2 linked regions of the Kluyveromyces lactis genome follow. The protein of the gene in region 2 purifies or fractionates together with the protein of the main gene of each other region. This does not show direct contact. Links are inferred from orthologs where the notes say so. Each region holds a gene or a part of one and is shown on either strand. Other genes may lie near its edges.

What was found.
Region 1: the proteins of COX12 (region 2) and RCF2 purify together in Saccharomyces cerevisiae (affinity purification with mass spectrometry; 3 studies listed by BioGRID, with this or other methods). This does not show direct contact. The link is inferred for Kluyveromyces lactis from reciprocal best matches to the Saccharomyces cerevisiae genes COX12 and RCF2.

What each region holds. Positions count from the first base shown.
Region 1 is NC_006042.1:568,864-581,597, forward strand, and holds RCF2 (Rcf2p), read right to left. Parts: upstream 6,224-12,734; coding exon 5,558-6,223; downstream 1-5,557. Other genes in the region: threonine--tRNA ligase THS1, read left to right, coding at 1-1,174; RCI37 (Rci37p), read right to left, coding at 1,574-2,467; BUD23 (18S rRNA (guanine1575-N7)-methyltransferase), read left to right, coding at 3,033-3,836; IMG1 (mitochondrial 54S ribosomal protein bL19m), read left to right, coding at 4,146-4,661; RRT12 (Rrt12p), read left to right, coding at 7,824-9,350; protein transporter TIM23, read right to left, coding at 10,049-10,708; KLLA0_F06061g (uncharacterized protein), read left to right, coding at 11,850-12,107. UniProt on the Saccharomyces cerevisiae protein: Assembly factor that plays a role in the assembly of the respiratory chain supercomplexes (SCs) composed of ubiquinol-cytochrome c oxidoreductase (cytochrome b-c1 complex, complex III, CIII) and cytochrome c oxidase (complex IV, CIV).
Region 2 is NC_006042.1:1,576,582-1,588,679, forward strand, and holds COX12 (cytochrome c oxidase subunit VIb), read left to right. Parts: upstream 1-6,268; coding exon 6,269-6,517; downstream 6,518-12,098. Other genes in the region: JLP2 (Jlp2p), read left to right, coding at 1-329; ribosome biosynthesis protein RRB1, read left to right, coding at 616-2,187; RIC1 (Ric1p), read left to right, coding at 2,516-5,530; DPI35 (Dpi35p), read right to left, coding at 7,565-8,488; mismatch repair protein MLH2, read left to right, coding at 8,736-10,568; POM152 (Pom152p), read right to left, coding at 10,633-12,098. UniProt on the Saccharomyces cerevisiae protein: Component of the cytochrome c oxidase, the last enzyme in the mitochondrial electron transport chain which drives oxidative phosphorylation.

The sequences.
Region 1 (12,734 bases), about 1.0 Mb from region 2:
GTCTCCGGGTTCTTGTTTCTGGCTGCCACACGGTACCAGAATTTACAACACTTTAGTTGATTTGTTGAGAAGCGAATACCGTAAGAGAGGTTACGATGAAGTTATCACTCCAAACATGTACAACTCCAAGTTGTGGGAAACTTCTGGTCACTGGGCTAACTACAAAGAAAATATGTTCTCCTTCGAAGTTGAAAAGGAAACATTTGGTTTGAAACCAATGAACTGTCCCGGTCATTGTTTAATGTTTAAGGCTCGTGAACGTTCTTATAGAGAATTGCCATGGAGAGTTGCTGATTTCGGTGTCATTCACAGAAACGAATTCTCCGGTGCTTTGTCTGGTTTGACTCGTGTAAGAAGATTCCAACAAGACGATGCTCACATTTTCTGTACCCAAGACCAAATCGAAAATGAAATCGCTAACATTTTCGATTTCTTAAAATACGTTTATGGTGTGTTCGGTTTCGAATTCAAGATGGAACTATCCACTAGACCAGAAAAATACGTTGGTGAACTAGAGACCTGGAACAATGCGGAATCCAAACTTGAAACTGCTTTGAAGAAGTGGGGTGGTAACTGGGAATTAAATCCAGGTGATGGTGCTTTCTACGGTCCAAAGATCGATATCATGATTTCCGATGCCCTAAAGAGATGGCATCAATGTGCTACCATTCAATTGGATTTCCAACTACCAAATAGATTTGAATTGGAATTCAAAACCAAGGAATTGGAAGGTAGCGACAATTACGAAAGACCGGTCATGATTCATCGTGCTATCTTAGGTTCTGTGGAAAGAATGACTGCTATCTTGACGGAGCACTTTGCTGGTAAGTGGCCATTCTGGTTATCTCCACGTCAAATCCTTGTCGTACCAGTCGGTGTTAAATTCCAAGAATATGCTCAAGAAGTTCGTGACAAGATGGTTGAAGCTGGCTTCTACGCAGACGTTGATCTCACCGGTAATACCCTACAAAAGAAGGTCAGGAACGGTCAAATGTTGAAATATAACTTCATTTTCATTGTTGGTGAACAGGAGATGACTGAAAAATCCGTTAATATCAGAAACAGGGATGTTATGGACTTACAAGGTAAGAACGCCACCGTTCAAGTAGACGCTGTCATTAACCAATTGTCCAAGTTGAAGGAAGAAAAGAGAGCTGATAATGTCTTGGCTTAAAGGAATATCCAAACCGATCATATATTTGTCAACAGAAATTCTAATTTATTAACCTTTCAACAGTTATAGTTTGTCAACACTATCTCGTCGTTTTAACTCCCTTACCATGCAAGTCGTATATTTAAGCTAACTATCTTTTCTGTCTCTTAACTCATGTATATTGTTAGATATAAACTAATATAAATTTCACTAATTATCATCGGAAATAATATGAATGATGGACCTTTTTAATTCGTTGTCATAGATGGAATATAGCTCTACCGGAGCAATCAAGCCTTCTGTTAAGTGTGATTTGTTCTGTTGTCATGTATGATGTTTGAAAATTTATCTCTTTTTACAAGTACTCTCCTTTGTTCTGCGTGATGCAGGATAATCCTGATAAGATTTCTGCGAACTTCATTATTTATAATTGGTATCGCTGTTATCATAATCATGTTTTCTAATTTCTTCCCATGATTTACCATTCTTTGTGTCTACAGCGGTGTTCTCCTTTCTAATTTTGTCCCACGATGACAGAGTGGGTTCCTGTGTCTCTGTGTCATTGAATGGATCATAATCATCCCTCGGAGTCACCTGAGAAGGTGGGGTAGTTTGAGAGACACCAGTCTTTGGCACACCTTCCTTCTTATCGTATTGAGGTCCTGTATATAGCCCCATTGGGTCCTTGTTGTCGAATAAAACTGAGGAGTTTCTCACGCCAGAATTGCCTTCCTTCAATTTGTCCATTACAAGTCTGGGATCAGGAATTCTTCTTTCTGGATTCTTATATGTCATGTAATAATAGTTCGCCCATCTGGTAGGCATTCCCATGTTTAATAGCTTTAGAATTTCGTACTGCTTCTGTCGACTACTTTTTGGCAAATGCGGATCATCTTCCAGTATGTCTGGTTTAGCAGCCTTAAGTTTAGATTTGTACGCCAAGGAGCCACCAGCTTGTGTGCCAATAAACATAGATAAGAATCCTAGAGCAAAAGCTCTAGTAACTTTTGTCCCTTTTATAGCTCCAGTTTTCATGTATTGATTAACGAAAGGAATACCAGTAACTATTGCAAATGCACCCCACCCAGACCATAATTGGGCCCTTGCTACTGAAAGATAGGTCTTAGATAGTTCCAATCGATCCTTAGGATCCAATACTTTGTCCTTCTCGTAAAATTCCAACGCATTGTCATACGCTTTTTTAAACCATGGTGAATTCACAACAGCTGGGTTTTGCATCGCTTTATCTACACCAAATCCCATTGGGAATGATCTCTGTGAGTTTTGTTGCGTTTCTGCGTTATCTCCCTGCATTACTTCCTATGAAGATCGAAACTTCCAAAAATGTCTGTTAAAAAAAAAGCAGAACTCGCTCGTTATTCTAATAGTTCGTACACTTGCAAAACTACAGCTTCCAATGCGCTTCTGATGTTGTTATTTAACATTCTCAGTTTACCATAACTTCACTTTATCTTAACATTCAAATTATCGATCATCCCTTATGTATATTTACGCAAACAACGGTAATTTAACAAATATGCCACATAATGCGAAATATTCCAAAACTTAGCCGATTATACTGATCAATACAACAGTAAAAGAGCATTAGGCGCTATACTGAATGTGATAGTAAGGACTTGTAATCTTATATCTACTAGCTTGATACGTTCCCTATTGCACGTGACCACATTCTTTACTACAACCAAGTTTCTTTTCCGAACGTTTGATTCAAAATTTTAAAGCTCATCTCGGTCATCGCCAAACATTTACGAACTAACAATGGCTACTTGAGCAAGCTGTTTGCATTGATATGCTCTGTTAATCAACTGACGGGAATAAAGTATAATAGGATAACAATTACAAGAAGTTTGAGATCGAAATGTCACGTCCAGAAGATTTGGCACCACCAGAAGTGTTTTACAATGACAGTGAATCTAAGAAGTATAGTGGCTCCACAAGAGTGCAACATATTCAAGCTAAAATGACACTTCGGGCCTTAGAACTTCTCAACCTGCCACATACATCATATATCTTGGATATTGGGTGTGGGTCTGGTTTAAGTGGTGAAATCATCACTGAAGAAGGACATATATGGTGTGGATTAGACATTTCTCCTAGTATGTTAGCTGAAGCGCTAGAAAGAGAAGTTGAAGGTGATCTTATGTTACACGATATAGGTCAAGGTATTCCATTTAGAGCAGGTGTATTTGATGCGGCAATTAGTATATCTGTGATTCAATGGTTATGTAATGCGGACACATCGTACAACGATCCAAAGAGAAGGCTCATGAGGTTCTTCAATACACTATTTGCTAGTTTGAAGAAAGGAGGAAAATTTGTAGCACAATTCTATCCAAAGAATGATGATCAAATAGACCAAATCTTGGGAGCAGCAAAAGTAGCTGGATTCTCTGGTGGCCTTGTCATTGATGATCCCGAGTCCAAAAAGAACAAGAAGTACTACTTGGTATTAAGCTCCGGATCTACAGAACAGAATGAACAAGTCAACTTGGATGGTGTTAAGATGGATGCAGATCTAATGGTAAAGAGAGAGCGTAAAAAGAAACTAGTTGAATCAAGTAAGGATTACATCAACAGAAAGAAGGAGGTGATGAAAAAAAGAGGTAGAAAGGTAGCTCTCGACTCGAAGTTTACGGGTAGAAAGAGAAGACCTAGGTTTTAGTATGGTCTTGCATATATAGAATTAGTAGATACGCACTTAATACAATCAGCAAACATGGACTGAAACGTTATCATTCATTCACCATTTTCCGTGTCTATTGCATCTGCCATGATCAAAACGTTTAAAATGATCATCAAACCTATGTTGTAGTTTTCCATAGAAAGAACATTCGAAAATTTTGGTTAAAAAAGATGGAAACATAAGTACCTAAGAGTTAAGAAAGCACTGAAGCGCAGTTTATATTTGAGTTTAAGCCTTTACTACCCGTCAGATCAAGTTCCCATTCCAAAACTATATTAGTCCCATACAATGTTAAAGAGACTACTACCTACCGTTATCAGACAATCTGTTAGAAGTTATCAACTTCCAGCTAAGAGTGGAAGAAAGATTATTCCAGTTTACCCACCAGTTGAAAGAATATCCTCCCCATTAGTAGTGAAGACTCTAGCTGATCATGATCTAAAACAACTTGACCCAACTGGTGTAAAAACAGAGATGGTTTCAAAGAAAAACCCAAATCGTCTACGTGCAGGTGATGTTCTTCGTGTAGTTTACGATTCCAAGAAATGCAACTACGATAGTTTTACTGGATATGTGCTATCGGTAGACCGTAAGCCAATAGTACAAGACACATCCATTCTATTAAGAGATTATATTTATAAAACCTGTGTGGAAATGAGAGTGCCAATCTTCTCACCATTGGTAGAGAGAATTGATTTGATTAGAAGAGCGGATGGTAAGAGACGCAGAAGTAAACATTATTACATCAGAAACACCAGATTGGATGTCGGAGATTTGGAAGCAAGTATGAGAAAGAAGAAATGAGCACATTCACACTATCAAACACTTGCTGAATTTTCATAAAATGAAACATGTACATAGAAGCAATTCAAACATATAGTAAGTAATGCTCGATATCAATGCAAACCCAAAGACAAGGAAGATTCAAAGTTGAAAGAGCTCCAGAGTTGAACCATAATGCAAGGTACTCTATGCAGGTCCAGCTTCTCTAGGTAAAGTTATTTGTATCATTAGCATGTCGGGTGGATATATAATTGTATAATCTGTAAAATAAAAAGGCGGATTATGCTAGTCCTTATACCTCATCAAGTGCATCCAATAAGAAAGGAAAATCATGAGAAAGGATAAGCATAAGAAAGGATTTGTACGCTCTATCTAAAACAAAGCTGCATTGAGTGAGCAAGTTGCTCTATTAGAAATGAAAAGATTACAAGCAATTTTGGTCCGCATTTTTGATAATTTATGAAGGTTCTTGATTGGTTCAAAAAAGTAGTGGTATAATGTTATGAAAGCCGTACCAGCCGTCTCTATTGAAAAAAAATTGAAATAAGCTGACATTAAAAAACAACCATAACAGGTAAGGCAGCACGCCCGCATTTTTGATCTCGTGGATGGTTGCGCCACGATGCAATGAAACTGTTACAATAATCAATGATAAAAAATAGATCTTCTTTTATTAACTTGTCATGACATAGAATAATGTGAGACAAAATAACTCACCATGAAAGGTAGATTTGGTACGTTAGATCTGCTTCATTTCATTTCGTACAAGGCAGTGCTGTAAAAAAAAAACAGTTAATAGTATATGGGTCAAAATTATTCACAAGAAGGATGTGATGAGGGTGAAAATAGAATTGTACGCCTTGTAGTGTGAAGGCAATATCGTATTTCACCTCAGCTAGATTGAATTCTTCAAAAATTCAATCATATTTAAAAATCTTGGCCTTAACTCTGTCTTCGTTACTTCTGTAACCAGCGGTTGCAGCCATCTCTTCTTCCTTCTCAGCATGCTCCAAAGCCGCTTGCCAACGACGGTCTCTAGCCTCCTTCTTTTGATCTGGATGTAGCTTTTCCTCGTACATAGATAAACCAATTGAGGCTAGTAACAAAATCACAGTTATACCTTGAGCATACATTCTTGCCTGCACAGCCTTTTGGGCTTTGGTCATGTATAAGTCCCTATCAACCAATTTCCAGGATCCATACAAGGAAGCAGCCCATGCACCAACAATGATCTTGTACTTATTGTTGGACAAACCTTCGACCAATTTTTCGCTCATAGGCAGGTTCTTCCATCTGTTATGTTCAGCAAGAATATCACTGGACGAAGAGTCACCATACATTTTCTTATCAAAACTGTTAGAAGATTCTTCAGCGACAATAGAAGCCAAAAGAGTTGGAGGCGTGATGAATAAAGCAGTCTTGACAGACCATGTCATAGCCTTTGGATTGAATTTAGGATAACGATGGGGTAAAAACCTGAACATAGCTGCAGAAATTAACAGACCTGCAGCTGCACCTTTAACACCACCCATCAGGGTGTAGTGACGATGAGCATCAATTTCTTCTCTTGTTAAAATCTTCATCTTGCTGTGCTGGTTTTTTCGTCTTTCAGTTACTTATCTCTTAAGCTAACTTTTGATTCCCTTAGTTTAAATAAGGTGATAAATATCGAATTAATACTGGAACAAAATCCTAATATATCCCGATATTTATTTTAGCCAAGAGGATAAGCATTAACAAATTTTAACTGTCAAACGATATATATATATATAATTTGAAATGATTCTGTAAACGAATAAACCGAGAGAATGCTCTTCCTTATATACGATACTTTTAAATTCCCTCCCTGCCTTTGTTCCAATTATACTTTAATTTTGGTTCGATTTTACTTTTTTACTTTTTTCCTTCCCGTATGATAAATATTCTTTGTTCCTTTATTTCTTTTTCCTGCAATATCGTATACGATTTAGGATTTATGATTGTCCATGAGGCACTGCTACTGATGTTACGTAATTTTGGCAGTTAGCCAAACCCTATATCTCTCGTTCTTGTTGCCAGCCCATGAACAGGCTCAGCGTAACCTGTTCATTGCTATCAACGTATCAATGAACCATTCGATTGAAATTTCTTCCAAAGGTCAGACAAGTTTTTGTCTGAAAATAACTCCGTCAATTAGAAAGTGACTATGTTCATTACACTGATGTTCAAAATCAATCCATACTTTAGCGAAGCTAATACCTAAGTGGGACCAGCCGAACGAACTGTCCTACTCAGAAGGATTTGCGCGTGCATACGGAGATAGTGGTTTTAGTAGTTGTTACCTGAGAAGAAGCCGGTCGGAATTTGCCACGGTTGTGGCTCCACATTTCCTTGACACAAAGTTTCCTGTGATATGATTGGTCAGTCACACATGTTTAAAAAAAAAGGAAGAGCAGAGAATATGCATCGACTAACCCTAACAGCTGGAACCTACCAGATTCATCCAATAGAGTTACAGGATCTTCGAAAAGCTTCAGTTTTGGACCTAAGGCATCGGATCGTTCGGATAATATCCATTGCAATTAGTGCAGTGTTGCGTTCATTAGCCTGACCTTTTAATACAAGGGAGAGTGATTACCATTTTGAGAAATCGCCGAAATACTATTTTTCAGGTTTCTACTCTTAAGAAAAAGAGCTTAATATGTGGAAAGCCTTTGCTTTGAATATGGCCAGCAGAGTTTTGTACATCACTCTGTTTTGACGTAACCGATATGTATACTAGCTTGAGTCTCTACTGAAATACTTGTAAAATGAACGCATATTAGACTATTGAAGATTTTTTTCAACTAGTTAATAAGCGAACACTGATACGTCATTTTTTTTTATTTTTTTCATGGATCGTTTTGTTCGACTCTTCGACTCTTCGGATATTATCTGACGCGCGACACAAAATAATAATGTGAACACTTAAAAAGTATGCGACTTTAATCATGTCCCTGGTTCGACACACTATTCGTTAGACAATGACAGGGTTCCGAGTTCTTAAATCGTACAATTTACCACAATAACTGAAAATGGATTTAGTAGAAAAAATGTGTATTAAGGCAACTAACCTCCATCCCTAGTCTTGTCAACAATATTTGCAGAAAGAGATAAGATTGCAAGATAGTTAACTACCAGCAGAGAAAATATTCAACAGTCAGAATGCGAGGTATCTTGACTCTTTTTGTTATTTGGCTTCATTTTGTTTATCCTGTCATATGTACTGAATACCTTGTTAGCTTGAAGACTCCAAGAGCTTTAAGGTATGTTTTCAACTTTAAAATCGGCGGGTCCAGTGTCAAGGAATTGATAGAATCGAAGATCCACAGAGAATTCTCATTCGGTAAGTTCAATGCCATTTCTGTTGATATTCCTCCTGTTCTAGCGGATAAGTTGAAAGATGTACCATTTATAAGTGATGTTGTGGCTAATGTGAAGATTAGTTTGTTCGATGAGTTCCCACAAATCGCTTCAGGATTAAACAATGATCAATATGACTTCGAAACTGAAGATGAGGAAGAGGCAGAAGAAGATGAGGGGAGTGATACTTATGAAGATGATGATAATTACGACGAGGATACAGACAATGGAGATACCGATTTTAGCGATGACTTCATCTCACAATCTCGAGCTCCAAGACATCTAGCAAGAATTTCTCGAAGAGCACAGTTACCAGTCATCGAGAAAGATGATACCTCATCTGGATTGAAATACCATTACCATGAAGAACACCAGGGTGAAGGGGTTTTCGTTTATGTACTTGATAGTGGAGTTAATCATGACCATCCCGATTTCGAAGGAAGGGCTATGAAAGGTATTGATACTACTGGAGAAGGCTCCGGAGATCTCGTAGGACATGGTACCCATGTTGCAGGTTTAATCGGTTCCAAGACTTATGGAGTGGCCAAGAAAGTTAATATTGTTGAAGTGAAGGTCCTAGATTCCATGGGAAAAGGCACTGTCACAAATATCATCGAAGGATTGGAATATGTCGTGAACCAATGCATCGGAAAGAAGAGAAAATGTGTCATAAACATGAGTCTCGGTGCACCAGGAACCCATTCGATTTTAGATAAAGCTGTTTCAGCAGTAATCGAAGAGGGTGTCGTGGTTGTTGTTGCTGGAGGAAACAGTGGATTGAACGCATGTTGGTACAGTCCTGCTAAGGTCAGGAAAGCAATTACTGTGGCTGCAATGGACGATAGAACCGATCTAATGGCACCATTCTCAAACTGGGGCGCTTGTATTGATATATGGGCTCCTGGTGTCAACGTGAAATCCCTTTCCAATAAAGGCCGGGGCACTTTTGTATTGAGTGGAACATCAATGGCATCTCCAATAGTAGCAGGTGCAGCTGCCATCTATTTGGATCAAGGTGCAGACCCTGCTGAAGTGAGAAAGATATTGAGTAAGACTGCTACGAGAGGTGTTTTCAAGAAGAGAGCTATTGCTGTAAGACCAAGAACTCCAAATAAGGTTCTCTATACAGGAAACAATCAAGAGGATGATGAATTTGCTTACGCAGTTTACCCGATGATTGATGAGATAAAATTCATGGATCAGTTAAAGCAAGCTACAAGTCGAGTGAAACCGCCAAGTGGCGAGATGATTAATCTAGTAACACATGATAGAAAGATACTTAAACCACGATTGAGTAAGTTCCTAAAAAAAGTGAGTAACAATTCTTAATATATTGACATACATAATATACACTTTGTTTTCGTTTTAGAGCAAGAAATCGTTTCGTTTCGTTTCGTTTCGTTTCAGGAAGACACATGCCCTTTTATTCACATGATATTAATTTATGAGCAAACTAGTGATGAAGTGTCTTCCTTCGTTAGACCATTTCGTTGTAAGTTCGTCACAAATGCTGTTATAATTTGTTATAATTGCTAGAGTACCAGCAAGGCCCGCCTGGAGAGGCAGATAATAGAAAAGAAAAATATTGACGAAAGATGACTTTATTAAAATATATACAAGACCATGTATCTCTAAACAAGCTGCTGCTTTATTTCTAGCTCACTCTTTGATGCTTGATTTCAGATATCGACAGTCTCAAGAATGGTGTAGAAAATGGTAATGGAGTAGGAAAACATGCATGGCGAGAATGGTGCTGTGGTGGAACATAGCATGAATTTGCTAAAATTGTCATCATATTGTACATTATACGAAAGGGGAATTCAACATGCAAACGTAAGATAAAATTGGATGAAATGGGCGGTCAGTAAATACGAGACATTAGGGGCATATTTCACATTTGAAACAGGATCCTCATGCAAACCATTTCTAAGACCCAATGTAATAGTAGTGTAGAATGAAAGGAAACGAAAAAAAAAGTTTATCGTGTGTTTATATATCCACAGGTTTATCCTTTTCTTTCTTTCAACTTATAAGATTACAGACTTGATACCGCACCATCCTGCAGCAGCAGCAGCCATCAAAGCGGATGCGTAACCCATTGGTTTCAATCCTCTAGAAGATCTGAAAATAGCACCAGTTAAAGCACCAGCTGCCACTGAGCCAGCAACATCATGCTTACCTCTGAAAGAATCGATCACTGAGTTGATCAAGTTGTAAGTTAAGGCCAACACACCAGCATTGTTACCCAAAAATGGACCTCTTCTTGTGATATGGTTTAATACTGTATTCAATTGCAATTTACCTGGTGAGTTAGGTGGGATGTTCTTCAACCCTTCAATGAACCCATAAGAACCACCAAGACCTAAACCAACCAAGTATACAGCACCAGTACCGTAACATAAATCGTCTGTCCAACCTCTAGATGGAATCAAACCTTGAGAACCTTCCATTGAAGAAAGCTGTTCTTCTTCCAAATCCATATACTCAACACCACGCTCTAGCCCTGCTAATGGGTGAAGCTGTGATGGACTTAATCCTCCTGGAACAGAAATAACGTTCGACACATTCGAAATTGATGATGGATCGAATCCTAGAGTTTGTTTCAGTTTATCATCATTTTGTTCAACTGGTGTAGTATTTTCTTGTGAGTCTGTAGATGACTTCTTACCACCGAAGAGCCAAGACATAGCTATACTTTATTATTATTATTATTAGCCTTAGTTTATATGGTATCGGTCAAAGGATGAAAAATCAGGAAGAGATTAGACCCGGTCCGTATTCGACAATAATGAAGCCCTGTATTTATCGGAGTATTGCCTTGATAGACTGAAATGCAATGGTAACCTAGCAAAATACCAATACGGAAAAGATGTCTTTGTCTTAGTATCTACAACTCAAACCTTCGAGGGTGATTCAACGTATCATACTACTACTTTAAACACTTTTCGATTGTAAAATTATATTTCACTAATTTTTCAAAATTTCAAAATATTTCAAGAACTACGGTTTTTTTTTTCTTCCTCTTGTTTCTTCTTGCTTCACAAGAGACTCTGTGATTTCAAGACCATTCAAGGTAAAATCAACGAATCGTACAAAATGATGATTCATGTAACCGGAACCGTTCTGCAGATGTAGCTGACCTCTGTTTTGAGCGCAGCGAAGGGTAAACAGAGAGAAAAAAATTTGTCATTTCATTTAGCATTTCTAGCGACAAAAAAAATATTTAAAACTGACGCCCGCCATGAGACAATGTTATTTCACACGACATTGCAAAAGTTATCACTGGGTTTCCAAACAGATATCAACTGAGGTATCTTTGGATGAAACTTTACCTACGCAGATTGATAGAAATCTGTAAAAAGGAGCGCATTGCCCTTAAATTCGTACAAAGAATACAAAGGAAAATTGGGGATTTGTTAGGAAACGACTTTTCTGAAATTATACATTTTCAAACCAGTATATATATATAAAGGGATCCGTATAAACCTTTCATATCAATGTACTGTCGCTAATGTTTTTTTTTAAAATCGCCTGGGATAATTTGTGAAAGCATTTCAGATACTAAGGTAGCATACATGCACTAACGCATTTCAAGGCTTCACACTTTTGAATAAACATAAATTTAATATAAAGAGTGCAGTTTTACATGAAAAGGACGCTGGAACATATGTCAGTCTGCCCCTCAGAAAAACTCCGATGAATAATTTAGAGAATCATCAATTTTCATTCTCTGATGATTTGTTACACTGTGATTACACGATAAAACACAAGCTGTTAACCCGCTTTATGACGAAAAGTTTCACCCAGTGATTGAAATACAAACAAAAAATGGCAGAACGTAGTGCTAGAGTCCAATTTGATTTGTTCGAGTCCGAAAAAGTGTTGTTGCGACACAAATGGATCAGAATATTAGAGGAGATTGACTCCGAAGTCTCAGTGACGCTTGGATTTGATCTATACAATACTAAGAAAGAGGATACGAAGTTGCACCACTGCGAGTTGAAGAAGGTGAACCAAATGAGAGTCGGTTACGACGAGTTCCTATTGAAGAAAATTAAGGAAGCTGGAATACAAAATGCGAAATGATTTCTATCAATCTAAATTTTCATTCCAACAGCTGCTCACCCCTTGTATGCTTAACGCTTTTTTCTATACCGTTGTAACAATTTGTCTATAACTTAACTATCTTTCTCTCATGTCAGTCAGTTTATACTATTTCCGCTTTTTTTTTTCTGACGTCTTGTAGTCGCAAACCACAAGAAACCGCAAGTCACGTGATCTCAAACCCTCATCTATCGCTAATCTATTCTAAAATCCAATCGTTGCAGCTTTCACATAAATAACCGCTGTATATCAACCGAATACAACTACTCCATTTCCTTCATTCAAAGATTTGTTCCCTTAAAACGCCAAACGTTCTTTCAGTCTAAAACCAAGCGCATTGCGGTTAATTGCTATTATCTGCCCAGATATAACACACTTCTTATCCTAAATTCTGTTGCATACCGTTGCTGTCAACGTGACGTGTACCAAATTGTTGGTACATGAATCATCTTGAACGACCACGGATAGTATGAACTTATGGGATCTTTATGAAATGTTCTACAGAAAAACAAAAATCCAACAACGATCCCAACAAGTTTTCAAACTTTTTCTTTCCCAAAAAAAAAATAGTGCTATGAAATTTCAAGTATGGTGAAATCACCACATCGT
Region 2 (12,098 bases):
ATCTGCGGAAAAGCGGGTACATGAAGCCTGGTGAAGTTTCCTATAAGTCAACGAAAGCTGTTCGTAAAATGGACTGTTTTGCTAGAGATAATACGATATTGAATAGATTACAGAAGACAAGAATTGAAATTATTGACGAAATAGAATCGCTTTTGCATGAGGCAAAGAAATCAAAAGATCCAGATTTCTTTGCTAGATATATTGAAATCAACAGAGAGAGGCTAATACAAGAGGAAACTCAGAGGAAAGCCTTGAAGAAACAGAAAAAGAAGCTAAAGAAAAAAGATGAAGGACAATTATTTGAGTATGAAAACATTGAGGTGTTGTGAAATAGTTTTTAAGATAAGCCAACCGCAGCCCACCCTTGATAGGTACATTGCCTATTTAGTATACCTTTCACAACTGACACATGGAAGAACATATTTACGTATCACGTGACCACATGATTTCTTTTTCCAATATTGAAAATTTTATTGAAACGATGCGATGAGATGATCAAACACTACATAGTAAGGAATCTATAAGTAAGTTATGTACCAGTATTGATCTATTGGCAAAAGTTGCTGGCCTTGATTGAATCAGTGACAAACTGTACTTCAATAGAACAATTCCAGGATGTCCAAGAGAACTGCTTCCGATGAAGGACTAGAAAACGTCGATGATCGAATTGTCCATTCTAAGACAGAGGCTGGTGAAGTACCATCGGCCAATGCAGTGAATGCCAATGAGCAAGATGTTGAAATGGGTGAATTCGAGGACCCTTATGGTGATGATTTCGAGAGTGATGGCGAAATCATCGAAATTGACGATGAAGAAGATAATGAAGAAGAATTAGATGGAAACATTGAGAACGATGAGTTTCTGGAAAAGAAGCAACAACAAGCTCAAGAGCTAGTCGAAAAGGATCAAAATGCTGAACAAGAGCAAAGTGAACAATTGTGGTTGCCACATTTATCTAAGCCTTTGGGTCCTGATGAAGTTTTGGAAGCTGATCCTACAGTCTACGAAATGTTACATACAGTTAACGTTCCTTGGCCATGTATGACGCTTGACGTTATTCCAGACACACTAGGATCCGGCCGCAGAAATTATCCACAATCTCTTTTGATGGCAACAGCAACACAAGCTTCTAAAAAGAACCAAAACGAATTGATGGTTTTGAAGATGTCCCAATTGGCTAAAACTTTAGTAAAGGAAGACGAAGATGAGAACGAAGGTGAAGATGAGGATGAGGATGGCACGGACCCTGTCATTGAGAATGAAAACATTTCCCTTAAGGACACTACCAATAGATTGAAAGTGTCTCCTTTTGCCAATGCAGCTCAAGAGGTATTGTGTAGCACTATGTCTGAAAATGGGGAAGTATATATTTTTGATCTGGCTTCTCAGGTGAAAGCCTTTGAGACTCCTGGATACCAAATCCCAAAGCAAGCCAAAAGACCCATCCATACTGTAAGAAATCATGGGAGTGTCGAAGGTTACGCTAATGATTGGTCTCCAATTATAAAAACTGGTGCAATGCTATCGGGTGATTGCTCTGGCCAAGTCTTCTTAACTCAAAGACATACTTCCAAGTGGATTACTGATAAACAAGCCTTTACGGTTGCTAATAATAAATCTATCGAAGACTTGCAATGGTCTCGTACAGAATCGACTGTATTCGCTTCGTGTGGTATTGACGGATATATCAGAATTTGGGACACTCGTTCTAAAAAACACAAGCCAGCCATTTCGGTTAAGGCGTCAAATACAGATGTAAATGTTATAAGTTGGAGTGAGAAGATTGGATACCTACTTGCTAGTGGTGATGATGACGGTACTTGGGGTGTATGGGATTTAAGACAGTTTACTCCACAAAATGCATCCACTGCCTCCCCAGTGGCACAGTATCAATTCCACAAAGGTGCAATTACTTCAATTAGTTTCAATCCACTCGATGAATCTATAATTGCTGTCGCATCCGAAGACAACACCGTTACTCTATGGGATTTGTCTGTTGAAGCTGATGATGAAGAAATTAAGCAACAAGCTGCTGAAACTAAAGAATTACAACAAATTCCTCCCCAATTGTTATTCGTACATTGGCAAAAGGAAGTTAAGGATGTAAAATGGCATAAACAAATTCCTGGCTGTTTGGTAAGTACAGGAACTGATGGGTTAAACGTCTGGAAAACCATCAGTGTGTAATAAACTCCGTTTTTATTATTATTATTTACAAATTAAATCCTCTTAATCTTTACTCGCTCGCATGTAAGTTAATAAAACAGATAAAATGGACAAATTTTCTCCTCTCGACTACATTTGGAGTTGATGTGACTCATCGTTTAGAACACTTCATTTATTCTTTTAGTTACTGTTGTATGTCTTTATTCACAATTTGGTAATAGCTTAAATAGTAGTCGAAATCAAAGATACGAAAAAACATCATGATCTACAGTTTTCATTCTTTATGTTGAAGGATAAACAGGACATGAAGGTAAGGGGCAATTGAGGCTAAACAGAAGACTTATAGACGATGATGCTCCCAGTAAAACCACCGCAATCATTTCAACTTCCCGGACGTTGTATAGAGGGTATCGATGAGGATATCATTCAAACAATTGAGGCACCTAATTCAAACCACTTCCTTTTTATTACAAAGACAAGACTTTTTGTTTACCAAGCCAAACCCTTTGCTCCATTAGCATGTCACGAACGTACTGCTGAGTCTATTGAACTGTTTGGTGTCAATTTTGGTATTAGAGATAATTTACCTCTTGGCACTGAGGTAAAGGGTTTCCTTACAGGCCAATTTTGCGATCCAGTAATAGATGATAAGCGGTTCTACTATGTTATAACCAAGAACAACTTTCTGTTGGTTTACGAATTATACACCAAAACATCTGAAAATAGCGTGTTCAAAGAATATGGCATACCGTTAAACTTGCCGTCAGATGATTCTTTACTTCATAGAGCTCTTGATGATGATATGGATGATGAGGTATTGACAGTTTTTTCTGCTAAGGAAAATCATAAGGTTATACAGAACGGTTATACAATCTCCAAACAAAAAGGCTTCTTGCAGTTTATGAAAAATGATGATATAGCTGAAGAGTTACCGATTCGCAGGACGGAATTGAAATTAAACGTGGTGCTAAAATTTGACCATCAAATTTTCGATGTTATTGGTATAATTACGCATGATATAGAGCGTACTGAGCATGCTAATCAATACCTCTTGGTACTTTTTGAACATGGGCTGCAAGTATTGAAGCTTGAGGACTTCAAGCTAATTGACAATAAGCTAATACATGTAATTAACGGTAAAAAGCTAATTTACTGTGCTGGTGAAATTTTAGTGTTATCTTACGATGAGCAGCAACTATCTCTAGAGCATATCCTTTTCGATCAGGAAAATGTGAAATCTCAAAATATAGCATTGAAGGGCCCATCCGGTGTTTTTAAAGATTTAGTAATGTTTGACCATTTGCTTGTAGTTGCGTTTGAGAAATGTACCATTTACTACGACGTCTTTGATAAGATTTTAGTCAGTGAATATCCGGCCATAACACACGTTTCTTGCATTTCAGCCATTTCTCCCGATACTATGGTATTGTTGACCGAAAACAACTCAGTTATCTTTATGAGTAAGTGGGGAAATATATTATTATCAATCCCAATCGATGAGAGCCAATTCAAAATCCTGCATTGCTCGCTTATAGATACCAAGCTATTAATAAGTGGATCGAATGGTACTCTACAGCTTTGGGATCTTTGGAAAAAGTTAGACAGTTCTCTCTCCAATTTCAGAACAAGTCAAGTCTTCACTTTACTCAATGATAACAATGATATACTACTTTACTCTCCTATGAGTGATTCCACAAATACGAGCACTTTTCAAACAATTAAGTTACCGACTAAAACAGTTAACAACAACATTAGTACCTGTAAGACAAATGGGATTTTGACGTTAATGGCAGTGTATGTAGGTAACAAAGATATTTTGCTCATCAATTTCTTGAACTCCAACACATGGATAAGTTTTGACCAAATGAATATCAAGAATATCGATTGGCTTGGGGACGACTATTTGCTATGCCATGTCACAGATGAGGATTCTGATAAAGAAATGGTAAAGTGCTACCATTTCCCATTACTGAATGATGGATCGACGAATCTTGAAGATTTCAAGACTTGGGAATGGGAGGTACCTCAAGGCTACCAGTTGGATAATTTCTATGCGAACACTTTGTCGACATACAAGATGTTAAAATTCACTGATGAAAGGGAGGACAGAGATGATGCCAGCAAAAAGGTGTTTGTTACATCGGAGATACTGATGGTTCTTTCGAATTCGCATATGATCATATTCGATGCACTAAGTTCGGTACATCCAACTGGAGTTAACATGGTTCAGAAATTTCATCAGTATGCAGAGTATAATTTCCCAGAAAATTCCTTACGCGGTTTAAAATGGATATACAGATATAAAGAAGGGTTTATTGCATGGATTCGAGATCAATTGGTAATTATTGGCCAACAAGAGGATAAGCAATGGCGATTCCAAGTAGCATACGATCGGGTGGAACAGATCTTGGAGATATATGAGGACAATCTTGTACTACTTAGTGGCAACGAAGTATTATTATACGATTTTGCTCACATATGGACCGTCGATGATCCCCTAATCACTACACCGGTCATCGAAGAAGAGTATCCGATTTCAATTTCATTAGATACAGCAACGCTGCATAATATTTCATGCATTACAACACAAAAGTTAACGAAACTCTCAATATCACACGGTGTGTACTTAGATAAGATTGTGGACCGGAACTTGACACTAGGCGTGGAAGGCGATAAAATTGATGAGAAGTATCATGATTTGAAGCACTACAAATTTTGTTTGGAAAAAATTCTATCCAGTAAAGTATTGGAACATGAGGACTTGAACTCCATATTATCATTAATCGATACCTATGATAAAAATTCAGGCGGGATTAAGAATGAAGTTGGTAAACTTGAAATCGTAGGGAATTGTTTAAGAAAGATCGAAACAAAACATTGGGACTACTTATTTGAGAATCTAAAACTAACTCCAAGAGATCTTATCACCAAGTGCATTGCTCTATCTGAAGCGAAGATCTTGGGTACGCTTTTGATGGTATTCTTAAACTATGACGAGGGCGATAGTGAATCTAAACAGGAAGAGGTCACGACAAAGTCCACAAAACGAAAGAACAAGAACAACAAGAACAAGAACAACAAAAACAAGAACAAGAACAAGAACAAGGAAAAGAGCCATACAAACGGACTCAAGGAATCTGATAGTAGAGAGACTTCTCCAGATACTAGTGTATCCACCATCCTAAAAGACGAAACAGTCATAGGTCAAGTCCTCAAGATATTCGTATCCACTGCCACTCTTTCAACTACAAAAGAGCAAGCACAAGAGTATTGGGATTTCGCTCTACAACTAATTCGATTCTTAAGAGCACTAGACAGTAAGGGAAATACTACACTAGCACAGACTTGTCTGGACATGATCTAATTAATACTGGGAAATACCTTTTTTCTAACCGCACTTGTCACGTGATACTCGGCCAATCACAAGGACTGCATCGTCAAAGACGATTACATTCAAACCCCATATAAAATATGTATGCTCACACTATTCAAATCAAACATCTCGTGCCATAATAAGAAGATGATGCGTTTTCTTGCTGAATGGAAAAGTGTTACCATCATATACTGCGATTTTTTCGCAATTAACCAGGTATTTTACAGTTACGCTTTTAATTGAACGAAGCATATGTACTCCTTTCTCTGGTACTACACAGCTGTATACTAGGGTAGATGTAATATTCAATTGACCCCTTTTACGCTGGATATATACTAGTAATATTACTATTAAAGTCTATGTCTGCGGAGTATCTGTTTGTGCTACCTCTTCTTAATGTTACGATATTTCATCTTTTTTTTTTTTTTCATTCCTAATGAAATTTTCGAATGATATTTTCATAGTTTTTCTTGAAGCCGAAAAAAAGATTTTGATTATTCTAACTTTCTATTTAGTTTAACTGATTAGTTTTTAGAATTAAAATAAAGAAGTTTAAGAACTATTCTTTTCAATTCTTGTTGTTATTTTTGTTTTGAGTTTTAGTTTTAGATTAGTTTGAGATTTGTTTGTTCATTCTTATTCAAAGATATTTTAGTTTTGTATTGATTTTGTTCAGGTTAATTAAGATCACTCTTTGTTCAAACATCATCACCGATAAACCCTATTACAATGGCTGAAAATCAAGAATCTCCATTACACACCGTTGGTTTCGACGCTAGATTCCCAAACCAAAACCAAACAAAGCACTGCTGGCAATCGTACGTGGATTACCACAAGTGTATCAATGCTAAGGGTGAAGACTTCGCTCCATGCAAGGTTTTCTGGAAGACCTACTCCTCTCTATGTCCAGTTGACTGGGTTGAAAAGTGGGATGAACAAAGATCCCAGGGTATCTTTGCTGGTGACATTAACCCATAAACTGGTTGGAAATATGTGATATAATGCGATGAAAAAAGAGGCAGTTAATTAGTGAAGAACTAGTTTAGGAAAACTAAAAACAAAAAAAGATGATATTCATTTGGAGCAAGATGTGACAACAGATACTGAAATTATCTGTTATGATTCGTACTTAACGTATCTTCCTCTTTTATTATTTTCATTCACTTTCCTCGAACAATGGCTTCACTGTTTTCTGTCCCATCGATTTTTCATTCATTTTCTTTTTAAAACAATATATTTATTATCCCATTCACATCCGTCCTCCGTTTCCCCTTTCGATGTTATTGTCACTTTGTAACGTTTTCCACTCAATATAAGTTTCAGCGTCTTGGATCATCATTCCAGACCTTAGTGTGGAAATTAAGTAACATTGATGGAGATCCGGAAATCCCAGTACAAGTTTCACTTTTATTAAAACAATACTCTCATAAAAAAAATTTACAAAGAAAGATCAATTTAGAACACAGTTTAAACTTTGTTACGTACCCACACATCAAAACAGTGATGAAAATACATTCTAATATCATTCAGGAGCCAAATACATATATTTACTTATATTATTTTTTTTTTAAAATCCAAGTCCTATTATATTTCAGTACTGTTCTACATCCAGATACCGTTACAACGGATACGCCATTCTTCGAGCTCCATTAACCTGTAGCTAGAAAAGCACGAATCATGTTTCGTTGTGTTTGGCATTACAGAGAATTTGACAAATCTCGGAAACTAATAATTTGATACTGAAGACATGAGCATGCTATGGCAGTAGATGATGCTCATCAAATGTATATACCTGATAGTCTTGACTAACAATCGTGTCGGGGCAAATGGCGCAGTTGGTAGCGCGCTTCCCTTGCAAGGAAGAGGTCATCGGTTCGACTCCGGTTTTGTCCACTTATTTTTTTTCCAATCCAAAACCTGACAGTAGCATGGGTACGCAAGGTGGAATTTAAGAGAGGGATAGTCCATCATACAGAGTGTCGTTTGCTCAATCAAATATTTACAGCACTATATCTTAAGATGCCGCTACTGCTGAAATAATAGGGCCTCCAATGATTTAAAATTTGGTAAAACATACTGTCTGCTGTTTAATTGTACTACATCAGTGACTGCATCAGATTCTTGTAATATAACCTCTGAATGGTGTAACACTTTCCTCAGAGATAAATCATCTTCTGATAACTCCTTTTTGCAAACATCAGGAGTTGTTATGTCGAAGTAACCGAATGAGTTTGATCTATCTACAAGAATTCCATTTACTCCAGCTTGGAAAGCTCCTCCCAGATCCGTTTTCTCCTCATCACCAACATGCCAGACGTGTGGCCGAATATTTTCCAAGTTCTCACGTTGACCACTAGTGTTGTGGCGTTTCAACATATGAGAGACCGCGTAATTAAACATAGCCGGGTCGGGTTTTTTTATCTCAAGATCATAAGACAGATAGATATTTCCGTCGAAATATTTCTTAAGATCTAAATTCTCTAACAACGTAAGGACAATGGGGTCAGTATTACTGACGATCCCCAAAGAAACCTCAGGATGGTTCCTCCTCATTGTCTCCAAAAATTCCCTGACGTCTGGGTATACCGTATAGGCAGCATCGCCCTCGAACCTTTCTAAGATTTCTTCTACCATTTCATTTGGTATCTGTATTGGTTCAAACATATCCCTAATTAGATACTCCCACCATTGTTCAGCCGTGATACCAGAATTTTTACCATATAAAGGATACTTTTTACGGATATTACTGAAAACCCCTGGAAATCTCTTAGTGAGTTCTTGTGGATTACCATTAATCCCGTACTTGGCACCCACTATACAATACTGTTCCATTACAGGTTTTTTGATGGAATAAAGAGTATTATATGCATCAAACGTTATGATTTTTGGCCGCGAGTGCTGCAAACTGCCATTTTTGAGTACCTCTCTAGGAATTCTTACCGGTACCATATTTCCCCGGTTAGATTAACGTTACTTGACTTCAATCTACTACTCTGAAATCGAGAGCTTTTCTATGTTTTATTTCTTTTAATGGTTCAACTTGGTATACATTTTTCAGAAAAAGCTTGGTCGAATGTACTCTGAAGTTCATCAACTTAGATCTGACATATAAATACAGAAAGCAGATATACAATAAAAAGATGCCTTAAAAAGGAGTAGAGATTCTGCCCAGGGATAAATATTGTAAAGTCGCTGTATGAATAATAGGTTTCATTGTTGGCTGTTTGAAAATAGCACTTCAACAAACCGTGTTATTGATAATCCTGTCTCGGCGGTTAAACAGCTGATAGAGAATTCGATAGACGCCAATTGTACTAAAGTGCTGATCAAAATAGATGAATCTAGCGGCGGATGTAGGTACATCCAATTGAATGATGATGGTAACGGAATAAGTGTCCAGAAGCGCAGCAGCGTTTTTGTTAAACACTTCAAAACTGACGGTAAATCATGCAAAAGAATAGGGTACAAAGGAAGAGCGTTATATAATATTGGCAAAACAGCATCGAAGAAGGGATCTATCGAGGTGATAACACGGACTATTTCAGAGAATGTTGCTGTTAAATGGTCACCACCTAGAATCAGAATAAATGAAACTATTAGATTTTCCAAGGTAGTGAATCCACCGGGTACGACAGTTATTCTCAGAGACCTAATGACGGGAAGTAAAAGCAGTAGACTGGCAAAGAAAGATAAAAATTATATTAAAATGATTAGGGATATGCTTTTTCATTTTTCTTTGATTCATAAGCATATATGTTTTAGTTGCCAGCTTGTCAATCCTCTAAGGGACGGAAGTATCAAGACTTTAGAATATGTTGCGCGGTTTGGTAAATATGAAGACCGGATGTCGCAATTCAAAAAACATGTTACCAAACAGAATCTTATAGTTGAGTTCGAACACTTTGATGAGATAGAGCTAAGTGAATCTCTAAAAGTTAATATCATATTGCCCAAAATTCGAACACATGGCAGAGTGACAGAATTGATGCCGAATCTTAAATATCCTTGCATTAATGGAGAAGCAGTAATGGTACAATCAGGCTTTGGTAAAAAAGTCAATCATTTTTTCAAGGAATTTTATAAGCATTTCGGGAAACCAGAACCGAGGGCATGGTTCATTCAATTTTTATGCCACCATACTAGCGACAATGCTGTAGTCAATGGCGAAAATAAAGCTGTCGCACTTACACTGGAAAAAGCTCTATCTATTTTGCAATGTTCACTGCTCACCTTCTACGCTCCACACATGCAGTATAATGATCCTTCAAATTCTACCCATATTGATAGTGAATCAGTGATTTTCACTCGTAGAATAATTAATACAAGTGACATTCCAAAGCAAATTCACCGGCAAATAACCAATAACCCTACTCAACAAATTCTCGAGAAGGAATCTGAATGGTTGACAGACATGTATAGCGGCACGCTATCCGATGGTAGATCTTCACCAGTAAGGGAAAACCTTCTATATTCTGACATTGTGAACACCGAGGATTGCTGCATTGAGCGAGATCTTGAAGACGTAGAGCTATCCAGAAATACGACTCTTTCAAATCCATTTATTCTTTCTCGGATCCGTGCCAGGAACACTACAGAGATAGTTGACGATCAAATTAAAAGTTCGGGCATACTAGAAACATACTATCAGAGGCAGACGCAATCTTCTGAGTTTTTTCAAGAACCAACAAGCAAGAGAAGAAGAATTTTGGAAAATGATCCAGAATATGACCATTCAACAACCCTTGTTGATATTGAGCATACAGCAACCAACAGCTCTACTAAAAACCTCGACTTACAGTTTGAACATACTTTCAATCTCGGATGTCGCAAAGCTGTCGGCCGAAGCGTTCCATGGAAGCTTCGTTTCTTGAAAAATGCCTATAAGAAGGAATTGGTCTGGTTCCACAGGAGCGGCATGCCCTCATTACCTTTATTGGATGGAATACAAACGCTAATGGAAGGCGAAGATAGTGATGTAGATTTACAGCTAATTCTTATGCCAACAGGTTGGTTTATGATAGCCCTATAGTTCACCACTTTGAAGGATCAAATGAGTTTTAAGATGGTTATTTATTATACAATGAAATCAAATTTCAATCCAACAACGCACGATTCTTAGCTGCGCAGAAGGCGTCTGACACTTCTAAAGCTTCATATGTACCTTGTAGACTGGTCACAACTCTGTACTCGTAAGTATAGATATCGGAAACTTTGTGTGTTTCAACAATTTGTTGCTTTCTGCCCTTTTTGGTGCCAGAGTTTTCAGTACGGACGTAGGTTAATGCGAAAGGAGGTGTACCTTCGAAGGAGAATATAACTTCAGCTTTGTCACCTTCATGAATATCTTCAACAATCTCTTGGCCTTGTGATACTGTTACCGACGGAATTGGATGTATATTCAAAGATAACCTTTCAAAGTCTTGTTTCATCTTCGGATTTGTGAAATCTACTACACATTGTGATGAAGAATCCTGGATTGAAAAAATAGATATAACGCCGGGCTCAGATGCATATCTGACGAACTGAGAGGAACGTTCCTTGGATTTTAGCTGCTTACCATTGAAGTCGTACTTTATTATGAATGGAGGTGTCCCACTCAATTGGTATCCAACGTAATCCCCAACACAATATTCCATGGTAGAGTCTGCTAGGGATATCCTAGGAACGTCTGTTATTGATATTGAAATCTGATTACCACTCGAAGATAGGTCATTGATACAACCGTTTGCATCAGTAACACTATCAATGCTTACTAAATGATTTCCCAACGAGAGGCCATCATACAATCGTTTGTAATCAAAGTTAGCAGCCGTAATATTATGCATGGTGAAAGAATCTGTTTTCGAAGAACTTTCGTGATAAATACTGAACGAAACAGAGAAAGGAGCTGAGCCATGAGGCACCTTCAGTTTGATATCCTGCATTAGCTTTGATTGCTCTATGTTTGCGGAGCAGGTTCTGTAGGTGCTTCCTTTCTCTAAGAATTCTATTTCTGGAAGTGAGTTTACATTCTGTCTTATCGAAAGTTGAGAAGGTTTGTACGCAAGTTTTTGGAGGTCAGCCTTCCCATAATTGGAATCATATACATTCTTAATCTTTATCACATATTCACCAACGACTTCATTAGGGAATTTAATTGAAGCATACTTCGTAGCAACTTGCACTGAAGATGAGATAAGCTCTCCTAACGGTGAAATCATATCATATTCTATCAAAAAGGGTGGTATGCCGTTTAGAGACATATCGATGGTTTCTTCAAACCCTTGGCAGACATCATTTTTAATGTAGTTGAAATCGTCCAGTTTTGAGATTCTGTTGTGCTCAATTAATGAGTACGTAGGTTTTTTGAGATAACTTACTTGGAAAGTATGGTTCGGATCTACGATCTTGCCAACACAACTCTGGTCACGAATTGAAGCCAATTTATACAAACCTTCCTTCATAACCTTTAAGGCCGGTTTATAGTTGGAACTGAAAGTCACCTCTTCAGTTTCGAGAACGTCTCCCTTGTTATCCAAATGGCTATAGGTGATTCTGAAAGGTCCTTCACCTGAAAGTT